Linked DNA regions of Coturnix japonica. The protein of the gene in region 3 interacts with the protein of the main gene of each other region in a pairwise test. Links are inferred from orthologs where the notes say so. Each region holds a gene or a part of one and is shown on either strand. Other genes may lie near its edges. The genes, in order: SKIL, TEX11, NEFL, NME7 and USP2.

The links.
Region 1: the proteins of NEFL (region 3) and SKIL interact in binary tests that used the Homo sapiens proteins (3 or more experiments, as listed by UniProt). The link is inferred for Coturnix japonica from reciprocal best matches to the Homo sapiens genes NEFL and SKIL.
Region 2: the proteins of NEFL (region 3) and TEX11 interact in a two-hybrid assay, tested with the Homo sapiens proteins (2 studies listed by BioGRID and IntAct). The two-hybrid records come from large-scale screens. The link is inferred for Coturnix japonica from reciprocal best matches to the Homo sapiens genes NEFL and TEX11.
Region 4: the proteins of NEFL (region 3) and NME7 interact in binary tests that used the Homo sapiens proteins (3 or more experiments, as listed by UniProt). The two-hybrid records come from large-scale screens. The link is inferred for Coturnix japonica from reciprocal best matches to the Homo sapiens genes NEFL and NME7.
Region 5: the proteins of NEFL (region 3) and USP2 interact in binary tests that used the Homo sapiens proteins (3 or more experiments, as listed by UniProt). The two-hybrid records come from large-scale screens. The link is inferred for Coturnix japonica from reciprocal best matches to the Homo sapiens genes NEFL and USP2.

Annotation. Positions count from the first base shown.
Region 1 is NC_029524.1:17,510,190-17,513,809, forward strand, and holds part of SKIL (ski-like protein), read right to left. Parts: coding exon 3,408-3,620; intron 1,207-3,407; coding exon 1,045-1,206; 3' UTR 1-1,044. UniProt on the Homo sapiens protein: May have regulatory role in cell division or differentiation in response to extracellular signals.
Region 2 is NC_029519.1:2,399,155-2,402,774, reverse strand, and holds part of TEX11 (testis-expressed protein 11), read right to left. Parts: coding exon 3,604-3,620; intron 3,154-3,603; coding exon 3,073-3,153; intron 2,990-3,072; coding exon 2,870-2,989; intron 1,180-2,869; coding exon 1,099-1,179; intron 1-1,098. UniProt on the Homo sapiens protein: Regulator of crossing-over during meiosis. Involved in initiation and/or maintenance of chromosome synapsis and formation of crossovers.
Region 3 is NC_029537.1:2,098,545-2,102,922, reverse strand, and holds the start of NEFL (neurofilament light polypeptide), read right to left. Parts: upstream 2,849-4,378; 5' UTR 2,800-2,848; coding exon 1,750-2,799; intron 1,017-1,749; coding exon 849-1,016; 3' UTR 1-848. UniProt on the Homo sapiens protein: Neurofilaments usually contain three intermediate filament proteins: NEFL, NEFM, and NEFH which are involved in the maintenance of neuronal caliber.
Region 4 is NC_029516.1:74,973,267-74,976,886, reverse strand, and holds part of NME7 (nucleoside diphosphate kinase 7), read right to left. Parts: intron 3,464-3,620; coding exon 3,356-3,463; intron 672-3,355; coding exon 505-671; intron 1-504. UniProt on the Homo sapiens protein: Possesses an intrinsic kinase activity. Displays 3'-5' exonuclease activity with a preference for single-stranded DNA. Does not seem to have nucleoside diphosphate kinase activity.
Region 5 is NC_029539.1:3,563,969-3,567,588, reverse strand, and holds part of USP2 (ubiquitin carboxyl-terminal hydrolase 2), read right to left. Parts: intron 2,668-3,620; coding exon 2,617-2,667; intron 2,394-2,616; coding exon 2,270-2,393; intron 2,171-2,269; coding exon 2,059-2,170; intron 1,985-2,058; coding exon 1,874-1,984; intron 1,789-1,873; coding exon 1,724-1,788; intron 1,645-1,723; coding exon 1,541-1,644; intron 1,461-1,540; coding exon 1,380-1,460; intron 1,303-1,379; coding exon 1,224-1,302; intron 1,119-1,223; coding exon 1,011-1,118; intron 936-1,010; coding exon 815-935; intron 731-814; coding exon 643-730; 3' UTR 1-642. UniProt on the Homo sapiens protein: Hydrolase that deubiquitinates polyubiquitinated target proteins such as MDM2, MDM4 and CCND1. Isoform 1 and isoform 4 possess both ubiquitin-specific peptidase and isopeptidase activities.

The DNA.
Region 1 (3,620 bases), on a different chromosome or scaffold from region 3:
CATGTATAGAAAGAAAAATTCACAAGTTAAAAGGAAGCTTAAAGTGTAGAGGCTTCAGATACTAAATAAACCAGTACTTTTTTTTTGTTTCTTTTAATAAATATTACTTTCCTTGGAAGCATTAGTATCTGAAAACCAGGCAAGCCATGGAATCCACAAGTCTGTGCTGGAAGGGACAGTCAAAGATCATCTAGCTGCTACCTCTGTGCCATGGGACATGGAGGGACACCCTCCACCAGATCAGGTTGCACAAAGCGCCGTCCAACCTCACTTTGAACACTTACAGTGATGAGGTACTCAACACTTTGTTGGGCGACGTGCTCCAGGGTCTCACCATTAGCCAACAAATAAATTCTACTTTCTTTCAACTTCAAATCACTGCCCCTTGTCCTATAGCTACCAACCTCTAATTGTTTTGTTCTTCCAGCACGGTGACCAAACACCTGCTCCAAAACTGTTTACTGAATAAGTTAGCTTGACTTCACGTAACAGAATTATGGAAAACTCATGCCGGTAAATCACTTCTGATAATCATCCATCCATTGTCATGGTGATTTTGAGGATTACCTCACATCTGCCTTTCGACTTTCCCCAGTTTAAGGAAGACAAAATTCTCACTGAAAACTCAACTATTTTTGGCCTTGAAGAAATTAAGATTTTTTTTTTAAAGTACTTTTATAACCGGGTGTGAAATCGATAGTAAAATACGGATCACCAAATCTGTTTTAACAGACAGTGTTAAAAGGTACAGGGTCCTCAAGGGCTGCATTAGAACTAAACAGAAACTGGTCACTCTAAATCAGAAGTTTCTTATTTTCTCCTAGTTTGAGAAACACCAGTACAAATAAATGCAGATTTCCATTGGTTAGGAAAATCTAAAAACGCGTACCTATCTATCTTCTTATATATATATATATTCATCTGCATTTGTATGGCAAATAGAAATCTGTAGAGAATACTTCTTATCACACAGAAACTGCTTACAATTCGTTAAAAAACGAAACACCCTGTTTGAAGGACACAGTCACACTCGTCTTCCAATTTCTATTTTCCATTTCCATGTTTTGAAGATTTCAAGATCTGCAGCTTCAATTCTTTTATCATCATCTCTAACTTCTCCCTCGCCTCTCGTTCTTGTCTCAGTTCATCCTGAAGCTCCTGTCTATCTGCCTCTGCGTGGTCCAGCCTCTGTCTCAGTTCTGCTAGCTGTAAGATAGAGGAGAAGGATTTAATTTTAACAAAAATATTTGTGCAATATAATAGAGAGTAAAGCAAAGAGTTTTGCATGAGACTGTCAAACCACTAACGGCATCAGCAGAAGAGTGTTAATCCCACGTGTGATGTGTTCAGTTGTTTGAGTCTAATTTATTAAAGCTGGACTTTCAGACTGAACCAAGTAACTACACAGTAGAAAATCAGTGGTAAACCCCAATGATTCAGAACATTAGTCATCTCAGCTGAACCATTTACAAAATGGAATCATTAAAATAAAACCAAAAAACAGCTTAACAACCACTGTTTGTATATGCATATAAATACCATACCTTGTATTAATAATAAGAAACTACTTTGAATTTATTAGGGTCTGTTCTTTCCCACCAAAACTTCTTCACAATACAACTCAGATGAATCTTTCAAGTGTGGCAAAGTTACTGCCAAGTTGCTTATATGTATACCACCAGCAGTCACAACAGGAAGACGAAAGCCACTTATCTTCTCTACCATGGGTTTAAGTAGTTGTTTCTTAAGAAAAGACCTCACTGAATCTAAAATCCTTCTGCACTTACGATGTTGGGCTTCCATCTGAATAATCACTACGTGTACATCTCGCTGATAAAAGACAGCTCATGACAGCAAAGAAGTGCAGAAGCACATAAAAACATTGCTGTTTGCTGTAAAGTGCAGTGAGAAAAGGAACTCCTGTATCAATTTTACAGAAAAATACTTCTCCTTATACAAGATGAACATTCATTGAATGTAAGTAGCTTTCAGACAGCATGAGCCTATTAATGTGAGTCTTCTGACTCCACTACTTAGATGCAGACTGGTGCAGCACAGCAATGCCCATTGCCTGCATGTCACAGCACGCAATACAAAATCAGCATGTCTGTGGTGGAGCTTTTGTTTTCACCTATAAAGAAAGGCTTAAGTACTGGTTATACTGCCCTATTGTGACTGATGGGGTAAAGCAACAATTAAACCGGGTAAGTCAGTAAAGGACTGAAAAAAGGGGGAACACTTCGTGCACCTTCAGACAGGCCTGGACAGAAGAACAAATGTTTACCAAAACTCCAAATCCCCTATTATTAATTTCATTTAATGTACAATGAAGGCTTTTCCCAGTCCACAGTTCTCAGAGAGGGCAGCTGGCTTCAAGAAAACATCACATTAAGGCTATTTTAAATGCAATATATGCAGCTTGGGGAAAATAACTGTTGTCACGACCTCTGTTTAACTCAGGTACAGCTGACAACTGCTTGGAACCCATGATCCAAAGTGTACTGTAAGATGTGATAAATGGAGAAAAAGATTCCAATGACATGTTCCAAGTAGCTCTACAGTACAACTAATAACAGGATAAACTTTCATGGGAGGAATACATTTAGCATTCTAACATCAAAAGAAAAAATCATCCAAACTCCTTGGAGAACAATCCATTGTTTTTATCCTCTAAAGAAAGTATATGCTAGACAAGCCATATAAAACACGCTACACATGATCATCAACTAGAACATGTTGTTACTTGCAGTAACAGGGCTTGTACCAGATGTTTGGTAAATCAGACCTTAGTCAGAGAGGATTACTTCTGGCAGCAAAGGCCAGGAATCCGTGGAGTGGGATGTCATGAAATTAAATTCATGAGAAGGATTTATGGTGCTAGTCTCTGCCCTACTCCCTAAAAATACAAAAACCTGTATCTCAAGTAGAACCTGTTTCTTATTTTAAGACTGTATGAACAGCAAATATACAGAACTATAATTGTGACCGTAAAGCTTAAGTTTAAGATTTTGTTTGTTTCAAAAGACTGTTTTCTGTGCAACGTACAGAAGTGCAGTACAATGTACTTCAACACGTTTCTATAGCCAAAGCAATTGTGCTTAGTTCTATAACACGGACAAGCTTATATACATTAAACGTGACTTGCTTAGAATGTCATAATCCTTATGTTTAACTATTTAATCAGTCATATCATACAAATATCTGACAAAGAAAATCCTAACATCTGACAGGCGACATGTTTCTATAAGCTACATTTTAGCTCTGTCTCAATCAAGGGACAAGGAAGTAAATCTGCTATCGCTGTGACTAAGATGGAGAAGACGAAACCTTGCAGTTGATGAGCAATAACTTCATATTCACTCACGCACTAAACATGATTTGGTTTGAAACAGACTTTCCCTTCTCACCTGTGCTGCATATTCTGCTTCCTTGTCTTTCTCTGAACTGGAGTCACAGGTACACTTCTGCTTCATCATTTGGTCCAATTTCTTCTCCAAGTCTCTCTGCTCAAAATAAAACTCTTCCATTCTTTGAGCGTGTTCGGTTTGCAAAGATTCGAGTTCTTTTTGCAAATTCTGCTGCTCTTCACTTAGTTCCTTCATAGCTTTAGAGTTGTTCAA
Region 2 (3,620 bases), on a different chromosome or scaffold from region 3:
ATGGAATGTTATAACTTCCTTTTCAAAAATGACTAATGAGCTTTAATTTTGTATCATTCAATGAACAGAACTCCACCTCCTGCATGACAGCCCTTTTTTTCCAGCATGCACCTTTGCATTATAAAAGGATGATCCACACCACCAGATCGAGGAGAAATATGTGTTTGAATGCTTGGTTATTCAGACTGAATGCGTGGTTATTCAGAGTACCATTGCTTTCTGCTTTATCAGTCAGGCCTGACAGTATCTGTTCATAACAACTCGTCTTTCAGCAGAAATGATTTGCAACTGTCATGTTCACAGCTGTCCAAAGAGGAGACAGAAAAGCATTTTCAATGCTAGCAGACTGCTAATATTTGCATCCATTTCGCCTCCGTGGTAACTGTCTTTTCAAAGTACAAAACGTGCTCCTTGCAAGGGAATTCAAACCCTCAGCCAAGAATGAGAGCTGGAGAACAGCATCTTGCTTTAAACTGATTTATTTCTGACCTCATTGCAATCCAGAGACAAAAGCACAGATTCAGTGCGGGTGAAAAAAAAAAAAATGATCGCTCTCATAACTAAAACAGAGTGAACGACTGTATTTCAGGCATGGTGCATAACACAAAGCACTCCCATAAACCTGGCAGCTCTCTGAGCAGTGAGCGTTCCCATAGCTCTGCAGCTTCATTAACATGAAGATTAGTACTGAGGGTAGACTTGCATATCAAAAGCCCAGCAGCTCAGCTCATCTCTGGGCACACCTGTTTCCAGACAAAAGTTCACCGGTAAAAGCAAAGAAGCAAGACACAAGATCAAGAGGCACAGCTGTTTGACTGTCATACTCTATTTAGAAATCCTTTTGCCTGTCTTGGATATTTGCCTTCACACATTCGTTAGGAAGGTTTTATCGTTCTATTTCAAATGATAATCTATGAGCAAATGGAAAAACTCAAAACTTGGAATGAAAAAAAACCTCATCACTTCTACACAAAACTTGCAGTTAAGAAAATCCCAAAGAAACAGTTCTGTAATGTAGCATATGTCATTCTTTAATGTATGGGGAGGAAAATAGACCTTCAAAGTTTGGCATGATAAAGAAGGTATGATTTCACTAACCTCTCTTGGCAGCCTCACCAACATGTCCTTGCAGCGCTGCACACATTGCATTGCTTTCTGAAAATCCCCCTGAGCAACTGCCTAGGAAAGCAGAGCACGCCAACAATCTGTAAGTTAACTACTTGCCTCTAAAATCTGTTACAAGACTGGGTGTCTAAAAAAAAAGACTTGGATTGTAGGCCTTTTTTTGCATTCAGTACAGCCAAGTTTGAGATCAGACATCTGTCCTTATGGTGCTACAATAGTTCAGTACACTTTTACACACTGAAAGGCATCCAGGAGGGCCCTGCAGCCCACAGGTAGTGTGAAAAGGTCAGATCCGTGGCACTGATTCAAACAGATGTCAGATAACAGCAAATCTTGGCCAGCTTAACAAATCTTGCAACACCTTTCCAGTAATGTAAGGTCCTCTTTTTCTTCACTAGGAGAGTGGTTAGGCCCTGGAACAGGCTGCCCAGGGAGGTTGTGGATGCCCCGTCCTTGGAGGTGTTCAAGACCAGGTTGGACGGGGCCATGGGCAACCTGATCTAGTAAAGGTGTATGTTTGGTGGCCCTGCTAGGCAGGGGGGTTGGAACTACATGATACTTGAGGTCCCTTCCAACCCGGGTCATTCTGAGTGATTCTCTTTTGTCTCCATTATCAACTAGAAATTAAATGAAAAATTCTGGCCACTGATTTGGTCTGTTTGGGGAAGCTCTTCATTGTTTTGAAGACAGTGCTCCCCTTCTGGATTCTGAGATCAGCGCTGCTATCAGCAAATGGAAGCAGCTGAATTATCTCATATTTACACCCATACGTCCATAATAGTCTGCAGTGTTGACAAAGTACTCAGAAGCTTCAGTCAGGCAGCAAAAATCAGGACAATGCCTCTCAAAACACAGAATTTCTGATTTAATCTGCCTTACTGATCCCCTGGAAAACACTCAGCATATTTTGAAACCTCTCACATTCAGCTAGACTTCTATCTTTAAATTATCAATCATAATTCCTACCTCGTTGTATGATGACAGAGGCTGAGACTTTAAGGAGAATTTCAAATGTCATGGAACTCATTATTTTCAAATATTGCCTTTTTCTACCCATTCTCCCACTGTTTCAAGGCCTTTATATGTGAAAAGCAGCATGTATTGGGGTTCATGGAAAGGAGGGTATCCATGTATAGGAAGGTTTCTATCCAACAACATTGAACAGTAATACCTTTGATTATATTGCTCATAAGAGTCAAGAAACTTGTAAGGTAGAGAAAACTCTGGAGCTGTGGCTCAGAACATCTGCTTGTCAGACATGAACCACCACCAGCACCTTCTTTTGCTTTTCAAACAGTTTAGTTGCAAATCCCAGCACAGTCTGAGGAGTGCTTTGAAATGACCAATTGTGCTGTGTACATGCTACACAAAAGCAGTTATAGGGACCTAGGCTCTAAGGCAGTTCTATCCCCTTCCTTGGGCAAGCACAGGTCACCTTTGGAATTGACACGTGATTCAGAAAGGCAGCTGTTGTATAAACACCCAAATTACAGAGCAACAAATCTGAACGAGAAGATATAAACAAGGCAGCAGAAATGACTGCGATAAATTAGGCAAATTAAAACCCATTACATTATTGCAACACCACATTCAAACATCACATCTGATACCTTACATCTAACCAAAGGAAATATATCCTTCAGCAAGCCTGCAGTGCCATGCATTCATACAACTAATTAACGGGTCAGAGTTTCTCTCCATACCCCCCTAGGGATTTATAAAGAGAGCTGGGAGGAACACGTACCGATTCAGCCTGATAAGAGAGCACTTTGAAGAGGTCCTTCTCCACGTCAGCTTTGCACACATGAATATCTGCTTCACCATTGCCCTCCTTACGTAATTTCGCATACAGTTTTTCTATGCTCTGGAAAACAAAGCTTAAGCATCACCCCATGGAGGTCACAAATAGGTGTGTTTATGAAGAACTAGAATCAGAAAAGAACTTACATTTATAGCAATCTCTAGGAAACCATCAGCAAGATCAGCTTTGCCAATATCTATCCACCCTTTACCAGTTTTCATCGACATCTGAAGGAGAAAATGATTGGTGCTTTGTGAAAATCCAATCACTTCCAGGACAGCCAGTGTTAAATCCCTTCTTACTGATATATATATAGTGTAGGTGAGAGGTATTCCAGCTCTTCAGTTTGTCACAAGTGTCTCTCACATCTGAATTAACTCTACTTGCAGCACGAGGCTTAAGGTGCTCCACTATACAACACTGTAAGATACTGAAATAAATGAACGTGCTGCTCTTACAACGTCTTAACACACGACAAAGATGTGGTGCTAACTGCATTGACTCAGCAAGGCATCCCTTTGATAACACGGGCCCACCTTCAGCATGTTATCTTCTCTCACTCACTTTCCATAATTTACAGGCATCTCTCACTCACTTTCCAAAGTAACTGCAATAGGTTTCCAAGGTTTCCCACAGCCACCAGCTGTACTTCACTGCTCACCTGCCATCAGCCTTACCAAAATCTGCCTCCGAA
Region 3 (4,378 bases):
CCTTAGCTATGCTGCAGACTCAGCTATGGGCCAATATGCTTTGAGCAGCACAAGCTCTAGAGGCTGCATACTCAGGAGTGCAAATATAACCATATTAATGGTACAGCAATAGCAGCCTGATCTTGGGAAAATTTTAAAGCTTCAGAGTTGTGTATTACTTTGGAATCAGTACTTCTCATTGGGAGAAACAATGGGGAACACACCCCCAGGATTAGGTTTCTACAACAGGTAGAAATACAGATGTATTTCAATAAGCTATGTTGTTCCAGACAACAGTATGGATGTAACAGCTCTATGCCACAGTTAACTGTAAGACAAGGTTTATAGCCACCTTCAGTATTCCCCCTGTGGGGCTCTTAGAAACCATTTCAGCACTTACTGGCATCCAGGATGATTTCTTTTTGCTATTTAAAAGTAATTCTTTAGTAAGATAATGGCTTAGCAAGGCACAGCTTGTGAGTTAGAAAGAAACCTCATTGTTAAAGGTGTCTAAGGGATTTTAAGTCCTGAGAATAAAGCCACCTATATTAACAAGTCTTAATGATATAAAAGCATTGTAGAGCGAAGAGATTTGAGCTCCTAGGTACAAGAACACACTTTACTTGTAAAGATGGAGAACTGAGATTACACAGCTGAGTTCCTAATTCCCTATGCATATATATATATATATGAACAGTATGATGTTCATGTTTGCTATGCAGCACAGATTCTGTTTAACACAAGCTGTTACCTTAAAAGCGCTGCTTCTTCCAAATAGAAAGCCAAGGAGAAAATCTTATTAAATTCTGCCACCAATGGCACTCTCTGCTGGAGGAAAACTAAGTAGGAATACGCATAAAAAGGAGAACCTAATTCACATTATGGTTTATTGAAACACCTCCCCCATCATACCTGTAGGTAGCAATCTCAATGTCCAGGGCCAGTTTGACGTTGAGCAGATCCTGGTATTCCTTTAGGTACCGACCCATCTCGCTCTTTGTGGTTCTCAATTCATTCTCTAGTTTGTTGATTGTATCCTGTTGGAAGGCAGAACACAAGCAATGCAAAAAACCTTTGTGTATATCAACAATGCTTGCAAGAATTCCAGCACCCTCATCACTTCACCTTGATAGAAGGAGAACAGCTCCACATCCCAAAGTGCACAAAGCAACACTGCTTAGCAATGCTGGCACATCTTCCACCCCTACATCTCTATCAATAGCTTCATTCCCTATCATTTAAGGAATAACATTTCTTATGATTCAAGGGCTAAAGCATTCATGAGCTGTGCATGCTTCATTGACAACTGCGCTTCCCCCTCATGCTTTTCCTAATGCTAAGTGAATTCATTGCAATTTGAGGACAGAAGCATCTATGAGCAGCATATACCCCACTTCATTTATGACATCTGTGCTTTTCCCTTACGCTCTCTCTAGCACTAATGCTATTTTTAAGCCAATTCCTAGCTATTTGATTATTTAAGCACTAAGGAATCCATGAGCTGTGCATGCTTTATTTGATTTTTTAACATCTACCCCTAGTTTAACCGGGATATTTTAAGTGCATTTATACTAATTCTCTTATTTAAGGTCTAAAAAGCTGCCTGTGCTTTGTTTTGCTGCTGGTTTTTGATGCATGTGCATTCCCCTTAATGCTTTTCCTACTGTTAAGGCGATTTATAGCAGCATCCTTAAGGATGCCTCAGACCACAATGCTGCACTATGCCACGAGATATCGCTGTGCATCCGCAGCCTCCTCAAACCAACTCACCTGCAGCGCTGAGATATCAGCGCTCTGTTTCTCCTCCAGCTCCTGCAGCTGCTTCTCCAGCGCTTCGTTCATACCACGGGTAGCTTCGATCTCCAGCGTCTTGGCCTTAAGCAGCCTGCGGCTCTCGGATACCTCATCCTTGGCGGCTCGGACGGCGTCTGTGTTCTTAGCAGCGCTTTCGCTGAGCACAGTGAAGCGGCTTCGGAACCATTCCTCGGCGTTCTGCATGTTACGAGCCGCCAGCTTCTCGTACTGAGCGCGGATATCGCGCAGCGCAGCCGACAGATCGGGCTTGGCCGACACGTCCATCTCCACCGACAGATGAGCGTATTGGATCTGAGCTTGCAGCTCGGCCAGCTCTTCCTCGTGCACCTTCTTAAGGAAGGCCAGCTCATCCAGCAGGCTGTCCACGCGCTTTTCCAGCTCCGCTCGTGCCAGCGCTGCTTCATCCGCTCCCTTGCGCACCTCCAGCAGTCGAGCCTCAGCATCCTCGCGGCTCAGCACCTCCTCTTCGTAGCGAGCCTGCAGCCCCCTCAGGGTCTCCTCCAAGCTCTCCCTCTCTCCTTGCAGCGCTTGCTTCTCGCTCGTCGCTTCCTCGGCGGCCAAGCGGAGCTCGCGGATCTCCTGCTCGTAGAGGGCTCTGAAACGGGACGGCTCGGCGTGTTTCTGCCGCAGCACCAGCAGCTCGGCCTCCAGCACTTTGTTCTGCTGCTCCAGCTCGTGCACCCGCTCGATGAAACAAGCGAAGCGGTCATTGAGATCCTGCAGCTGGGCCCGCTCTTGGCTACGGATCGACTTGAGGTCGTTGCTGATGGCGGCTACCTGGCTTAGATCTAGGCTGTCTACCGAGTGCAGGAGGGAGCCTGAAGCGCTGGAGGTGGCGTAACTGCGGCGCACAGACACGGAGGAGACGGGTGCGGAGAGGCTGGAATACGCCGAGCGAGCTGAGCTGTAACCACCGCTCCGCATCGCGGAGACGTGCAGCCGGGGGCTGTCAGCATAACGCCGCTTGTAAGAGGGGAAGAACGGGTCGTAGCCGTACGAGCTCATGGCTGTAGAGGGGATCAGCGAGGGCTCTGCGGACCGGTACCGCCCGAACGCTGGTATTTATGGACGGGGAGGGTGGGAGGAACGACAGCCGGGCGGGGATGGGGCGGAGCGCTGCGTTGAGGCTGCTGTAATGGTGGGGGTCTGTGATGAGCCCGGATGATTATCAGAGCTGGTGATGAAGCGGGTGGGCTGCGTTCACTTTGCAGCTCCATCGTATTCGCCCCACATCGCTATTTTCTCTCGTGCCGCTCTGATGGATCCCCGGGGTTGCAAAGCCCCATCTCGGATCACGATATTGAACCATCACCCCTCTGTACCTCATCACCCCCTCTCGTACCTCAGAAACCCCTGAACGTGTGTATAAATAGCTCATTTCACCTTCCTTTCCCCTTTATGTTTGCAGTTCCAGCGAGGCTCCAGCCTTTCTCCCTCCGTCCTCACCACGTGCATTGTTAGCAGTGGTTCCTAATGACCAGGTAATGGTGAAAGAAAAGACAGTATGTGGTTTGTTGTACCAGCAAAATGCATTAATTCTTGGTTATTCAGCTTTGCTTCATCCTTTGAAACACTCACAGGGGCAAATTTAGAGCATAAGGTCTGAATATTTGGCACAATCTGACTACAGCAGAGACTAAAGCTGCATGGCTCCATCACAGCTACCCCTGGCCCAGGTTATGAGCTGCTAAGAAGAATAAAACAGTATTTACACAGCAGAGATTGCATCTTAAAAATGAAATAGGGAAACATAGCCCAAAAGGTGGTGGTACGTTGTCTCTATGTTGTCTCTCTGACTTAGAAGGGCTAATTTTAGTCCAATACACTTTCCAGGTTTTGCTTAAGGAAGAAGCAAATGCTGAAGCAGCATTTCTTAGCAGGAAGTACTGCAAAAACCTTCTCTTGCTCCCTAAGGAAAGGAGAAAGAAGTAGAATCTGTGTACCTGTCACCAATTGCAATGGTGCTCAGGTTATTTCTTGCATAAAGATAAGCTTGCTTAATGTGAATCATATAATAAAAGCGAGGCAGGGATGGTTTCATTGGGTTCCTTTCTATCTTCTAGTGCTCTCAGAATATTACCTGTTGTTTAGTATCACTCCCATAGGTTACACTGTACTTGATGGTGAGGTGTATTAAGCTGTGTAAGGCAATGGCCCCTCAAAGGCAGAAAGCTGTAATCTCTTCTCATTTGAGCTCACGTTGGATGGAATCAAGCGTGCAAAGAGCAAATAAAAGCTCGCACGTTGCTCCTTCACAGTAAGATTGTGTAGATTGCAGAGCACGTGGGGAAGTAAATGAGCAACGTAGGCACTGTAGCAGATGGGAAGACTCACAGTAGGTTTGTTTGGAAATTCAATGAGCTTCTAAATAACAAATAGTTCTGGGATACTCAAGAAGTGCAAACTGACATGCTCTGTATCAAGCCAATGGATTAACACTACTCTCTTCCCAATTTAATTCTGAGCCTTCAATACCTTCACTCCAAATCTCATAACAATAAGGGTCATAATTGTAGTCCATTATTATTTATATGTCTTTTTTATATCATTTTAGAGAGGGAAAATGATGGAAAACCCATTTTTC
Region 4 (3,620 bases), on a different chromosome or scaffold from region 3:
CTGTTCAGTTACTAATGACAATACAGGGTAGATGCATTTGATAAGGTACTAGCTTTCTGCACAGACTGCAGGGAGGGAGAAGACCATTTTGAAGGATTCTAGCCAGCACCCATTAAGGTTACAACACCAATACTGCACTGAGAGAATCCACAAATCACAAGAATACTATTTCTACTGGCCCTACAGGGAGTAGGAAAGCTGAGCTGGGGCCCATGTTTGCCTTCTCTACCTTTTCTCTTCAGAGAAATCTGGAGGATGCAACATGCGACACCACAGATAAACTGGCCTTGAAGATGTATCAGGTGGGAGGGATAATGGTAGGTTTGCCCACAAGCAGGGAACTGTTTCCCTCCAGCTAACAGTATGCCAGATGACTCCAAACCTCATGCAGACTTGTGACTAATTCCTCCTTTTCCCACGGTACAGGAATCTTACCTCATTTCCAGCAAAGAACAACTACCCCAGTCACAAAGGAAGACTTAAAAAAACAACAGGTTTTCTTACCTCTCTTTGCGGCCCCCTAGCTTGCGCGCTGTATATTGATCCCCATAGTCCACTAAGGAAAGATGACGGGAAAACACAGTAATTTTGTTGCCCACAAACAGATCATCAAGGTGTAAGCTCTCATACTTGGTGCGCTTCAGAAAGGTACGATGGTTCTTCACATCATACTGCAGACAAAAGAAGATTAGAACCTACTACAGCAAGAGATCTTAAGCTGTTGGCAAACTCCACGTAATTCTTACTTTCCCTTCAGAAATTTCCATAGCTCTGTGGGATTTAATCTGATCATTAAATTGATTTAATTCTTAACCCTGTGAACTTGCACGTGCACCAGGAATGCTTAGAGGATAAAACCACACATTTGTTCCAGTTAAATAGTCTCAGGGTGATGGCTGTCTTCACAGTTTTTATTACTTGCTTGTGCTAATTCCAACTATGATAGATGCTTCACATCCCTTGTGGATATCTCTACCCAGTCTCAATGAGAATCCCCCACCCCCTCCAGCAAGTCCATGTTGTTTCACAGGCCAATGGTTTGAAGCAGTAGTGATCATAATACACACTGTGGCAGGTCTCCTCTTCAGGGCACTGTTCCAGTGATATTATGCTTTATTTGACTGCTTAAAACTCTGAATTAAGGATGGATGGATGGCTGCAGCACTACGTTGAGAAGTTCTCAACTGCCTAGAGCTGCAAGCTCAAAAGCCTGTCAAGACGATTCAGCTATGTATGGACATTCTGAGCAAGAAGGAAGACATTAATGTGAGATTTTCTGGGTGGATTGCTAAAGCACAAAAGACAACCTCACAAACAGTTTCTTCCCTGCTACAAGTAAATATTACAGATCCCTTCAATTTCTTGGAGAAACAATCTTAGAAAAGTTTTGTCCTCTTCAGGCTAAACTTTTTTTTTTATTTGATACTTTCTAAGCAGGATTCCATAATAAAATCATCCTTAGCTCTCACCTACATGCTCCAGCTCAGTGCTCTTCAGTTTCAAGAAGAGTCCTATTAACTGAATCATAGTTATTAACTATGGAAAACTTGGATAGTTGGAGATGGCTCTGTCTAAGTACCCAGTCTGATCACAAATGGTTGCTTGCTGTCCCTGGACAAAAACCTGTGCTGCTTTCTAACGGATGCAAAGCAAGCAGGAAACTGGTTGCATTATTTCCACTGTATTTTTCCTTCACGGGAAGGAGCAAGAAAGAAATGGGAAGTTGAGAACTTCACATAACATCAATGTCCAACAGCTCTATTCCACTTTCAGCTGAAGCATGTACAAAGGAAAGTTATCACTGCAGAGGTGAGAGAAAGGTGATGCAACTGCTCTCTCATAAGCAGAGAGAAGCCGGCTCTCGTCCATTACCTTTCTTCTCTGACAATGTACTAGAGGTAAAGTGAGCAGCTGCCATCTCCTCGGGAAGATACAAAAGATCCAGAAGAATTTTGCAGTAATGAAGAAGAAAAAAAAATGCCAAACTCCAAATAAGTTTTCAAAACCATAAATAAATCCAGAAGATAATCTCAAATGTAATTTCTGTCTACAATTCACCTCCAAACTGATCTTGTAGAATTCCTTCTGCAGAGATTCTACATGCATTTTTGCTTTTTTAGCAGTTATATTGATCACACGCAGTCCATGCAAACTCATGACTGCATACACACACTACCTCAACCCTGAGAACACAACTGACTAAATATAAGAACCTACCAAGTTGCAGATGTTTGATGCATAAAGCTCTAAGACAGCCAAAAGCACCTTGAAAGCTCTTGGTTTTGAGACATCCAGGAGAAATGAACAACAATTTTGTCAGCCTACACATGGCTGTGTAGGAAGATTATTACGGCTTCTGACTGATTAGCTTAACTGTGTCTAAGAAAAAAAAATCCTCACGTTTTGACAACTGTGCACACATATCATACAAATAACTAACTTAAAAGGGACAACATCATGGTGGAGTTTGTTTAAAGAGACTATCAGTAAAAAGTGCAAAGTGCATCTCCTCACACAGATGGGTACCGTGGTTTCAGTAAGCAATAGTTTGGATAAGAAAAGTAAGAAAAGGTAGATTCTGATAGTTCTGTTGTTTCTGTGTTTGATGTGTAAGGCAAGAAAGTTTAAGAACTATACTGAAATTAATAGATGTGAATACACAAATTTAGGCTATTCTTAGACCTTCATATGCTCATTAAAATCTAGAAAAGACTAGTAAAAGAATAAATAATCATTAATTCATTCAAAAGGGGAGCACAAAGCATTGGCTATTTTGTTGGATTACCTGTACAGGATTATCTGTACTATATGCTTGTTTTATCTTCATTTTTTTTTTATTGTTAGAAGGCTTAGTTAAATGTACCATAAAATCAGAAAGGTCCATACAAGCACCAATAAGGGGAAAAATTTGTATTCCATTCTCAGAAACATCCTTTCATGCATTAAAACCAAATTAGTTTACCGTTTCCTTCACTTTGATAGAAGTTGTTTACAGTTAATGCTTCAGAGGCTTCTAGAATTCTAACTGAAGCCTACTCTTGTTAGGAATCACCTTCAATTTGTTCCTGCAGTAGGTTGATGGTGCTGAGTTCCAATACTTAAATCCAAGAAAAGATTAAATAAAAACAGATCTGTGAAAATGAAATGCTCCAAGCTTAAGATAAAACTCGTTAACATGGCAGCTCTTGCATGTGCTCCACTATGAACTAGCACATTTGTTTTTCTTCTAGTTTGAAAAACAGACTTATGTCTTAAACTACAACTTAATTACCTGGAAAAACAAATGGCAGTGGTCCATTTTATAAATAGCTTAATTGAGTAATATATTTAAAATTACAGACTTTTTTATTCTTACCATTTCAACTGAGCTATCTTTTGGATAATACAGAAGCTCGTAACGCCGAAAGAGTGAAGCATTCGGGTCATACCATTCAGCAGTGAAAGCAAATCTGTCATCTTGACTCTGCAAAAACAAAAGGGAAGGCTACTGAAGTAATCATACACTTAATAAACTGTACCATTTCCTTGCATTTATTATCAGAAAAGTTAAAAAAATATATCATTATTGAATGCACTTGCACACCATCATTTGCTTAGTGCAGCTGGGGACATCTTTTCAC
Region 5 (3,620 bases), on a different chromosome or scaffold from region 3:
GGGGCTCCTGGTGAACAGGGGAGGAAAGCCCCAGTACTGGAAAGGTGCTGCCCACCCCCCCACCCCCCATAGGACGGACATCCCTGTGCACCCCAAGGGCCTCCCGTGCCCCGAAATGGTTTAAGGCACCGTCGTATAAGGAGGTGGGTCAGCCCCCCCCTGGCGTGAGTCCCTGGGCAGCCAGGAGGGATGGTCCAGGCTGAGAGAAGTCCATGATAAATAGAAAGAAAATCCATGAAGCATTGTCCTCCCTCTTGGCTGTGAGTCCGGGGCTGATTGGAAAGCAGATGGAGGTGGGATGGAGGCAACCAAAGAGCTGCAATCCTCACCAGGAGGTTTGGAAGAGCTGGGAGGAGGCTCGTGGATCCTCAGGGATGGCAGAGTGATATGGAGATGCCAGAAGGGACCCAATTTTGGGTGTCCCCGAGGTCCTGGTGGGGGCAGGCAGCCCCAGGCCCCTTGCTCAGTATTTTTATTACACACCAGAAAGAATGAAGAAAAACCTACCCCAGGGTAAAAAGCAAATGCCAGCGGCCCAGAGGCACCGGGGCTGCCTGGGTTCTGCCCTCATTATGGGGCTTTCTGCTGTTCTTGGGGTGCCCAAATCCAGCTAGGAAGCTCCAAGGGGTGCCCAAGGACTGGCTACATGCGTGAGGATGGGCTGGCCAGCTCGTAGAAGAGCAGGTAAGCATCACTGCTGCGCACGTGGCTGGAGGACATCGGGGTGACGCTGCAGAGATACAAGGAGATGCACTATGAGCAATGGGGTGCCCACACGAGGTCCCCCCTCCCCGTGCCACCTGCGCAGCCTCACCGGGAATCATTGAAGCTGTGCCACTCGCTGGAGATGGGGCTCTTGCAGTAGGCAGTGTAGTGTCCCCCCATGGTGGTGCCCGAGTGGTTGGAGATGGCATAGAGGTTGTAAACAGCGTGGTCTGTGGGGACAGGGTGAGGATCAGTGGTGCCCACACGTGAGCTCTGAGCTCTGCCCTCCCAGCACCAGCACTTACTGCAGCTCTGCGAGGCGAACTCCCTCAGGTCCAGGTCCTTCAGTGGGAAGTTGACAAAGGTGGTGAGTTTGCTGGCTCGTATCCTGGATTCTGAGAAGCGTTTCAGGTCTGGAGGGGGTCCCATGTCAAGGAAATGGGGAGCAATAGGGAGCCTGCAAAGAGCTGCCACCCCATGCCAGCCCCACCAACCCCATTTATCAGTACAAAGGATACGGAGCACCAGGATCTTGGGGAACTTCTGGATGCTGAATTTCTTCGTGCACCGCGTCCTGGCTTTACAGCGACAACACGTCTGCAGGCAGTGAGCAGTACGGTGAGATCCCATCCTACACCCATTAACTCCCTGTGCCCCCATCCCACACCCCGTACCGGTTTCTCATCCCCATCCAGAACGTCTTCTTTGGTGAAGAGCCGCAGGCAGTCCATCAGGGTGACTTCCCCGTAGCCTTTCTGTAGGAGGAGGGCACAGTCAGGGGCACAGGGTATGGGGCACAATGTGTGGGGTGGGGGGACAGGGAATAGCACCTCACCTTGGGGATGGGCAGGGAGAGGTCCCAGAAGGGATCAAAGGCTGTGGAGCAGTAGCCGCATTCGCTGCAGGTCAGCGAACTCTTCAGCTGCCCAACAAAGAGATCTGGGGGCGAAAGGATGGAGAAGGGTGAGACCCCCAGCCCCAGCCCCCTGCCTGCCCCCTCCCCTCCCCATATACTCACCAGTAACACGGCTGTCCTCCCGCTCCTGGTACCTCCGCCACATCTGGCGGCTCTTCTCATCATCACTATGAGACAGAGGGACAGAGCTGCTGAGCAATGCTGGGACCTCCAGGCATCCAGCCCCCACCCCACTGCCCACCCCACACTTACGGGAGGTGGTCCAGGGTGTCAGCACTGGCTCGTGGCCGCACCAGCACACGGTTCACCTCACTGTGCAGCCCATCCAGGAGGAAGCGCAGGAACTCTTGTGCATCCTGCTGGCTGTAAGGCAAAAGGAGACGGATGTGAGACCCCCATGAGACCCACATTACCAGCCCCACACCGCCGGTCCCTACTTGTATCCAACAAAACGTGGGGCGTATCTCTGGATCTGCGTCTTGAACTCGGAAGGGCTCACGCTGTCATTGGGGGATGAGGTCCAGAGCAGCTGGATCAGCTTTGCAAACTCTGCGTACAGAAAGGAAGCTCAGCGATATGGGGAGGGGGAATGAGCCCCACTGCTGTCCCCATCCTGCCCCCCTCCACCCCCAACCCCACTGTTGATACCTGACATGAGCGCGGTGCGCATGCGGCTGTTGTTGTTGAGGTCCCGCAGGTACTGGTTCTGCAGGCAGTAATCCCGCAGCTCCTTGGTGTTGCTCAGGCACTGCAGGATGGAGTTCATGAAGCACTGGGGGAGGCAGAAAACCATGGCAACGTGAGGCGGAGGGAGGGAGGCGGGTGGTGACAGGGGGGGACCTTGGGGCGGGTGGGCAGGAGATGGGGACAGAGCAGGGGGGAGAGTGGGGAAGGGTTTGTCCACCTGCACCACTGGATGCTGGGGTCCTTAATGTGCCCATAGAATGGCACTTTGTGGGCTGGGGCTGTGCCTACAGAAGGGGATGAGCACTCACCGTATTGCCGAGGTTCCGCAGCCCAGTCAGTCCCTGCACCGCCTTGGAGCTCTGCAGAGAGAAGGAGCAGGGCTGTGACAGGCTGCCTGTGAGCAGCCCGTGGGGCCACCAGCACCCCTGTGGGGCAGCCCCACATGGGCATGTGGGGGCATTTGGGGCGCTCTTGGCACTGCCATGCATAGGAGAAGCCTGAGGACCCATTGCTCACCCAGCTGCCTGGCCTGGGATGACTCCCAAGGCTCAAAGTCCTTCTTGCTGCCCTATGCCCTGCAGGCTACACTGGCCACCCCCTGCCTCTCCCTGCCAACCCTATGCCCTGGGAAGCCGGGGGTGGCTGTGCTCCATGCCTGCCCTATGGCTCAATGGGGTGTCCTGCTGCTGCCCATCCCTCCAGGGCACCCCATACATGTGCCACCCTCCAGAAGCATGGCTGTATTGTGGGATAAAGTCCAGAGAAGGCGTTGACAGGGCGAACCTCCCGACCTGCACCCATCACAGCCACAACTCCCGGTCCACCCCCAGGCGTGAGTTGGGGGAGGAGGAGGAGAGGAGGGGGCTCGTCAGCTCTAAAATAGCAGCAGCTGGTGCGCGTGTGGGAGGTGCTGAGCACCCAGCCCTGACAGCAGCCCAAAATAACCCAGATACAGTTACACGTGTGCCATAGCGATGCTGCAGGCATCACCCAGAGCAGGGGCACAGCACCGATGGGCACCCAGGTGCCCCATGCCGGGCACACGTGGCTCTGCATGCAAACCATGCCCGCAGCACGGAGCTGGCCCAGCGGCCCCACAGCCCCCATCCCTTTCCATGGGGTAAGGATGCACAAGAACCCCAATGCCGTGGCCGTGGCTGCACCAAGGTCAGATTTCCCCCTCACGTTTTCCCTTCCCTGGGTGACTCAACTCCAGCTAATCCCCCTCGCCCGGCCGGGGCTTTATCTAGGACACGGCTGGGCTCATAGGAGGCAGAGCAGAGCTGGCTCACGCGGCAGCGGCGGTGGCTGG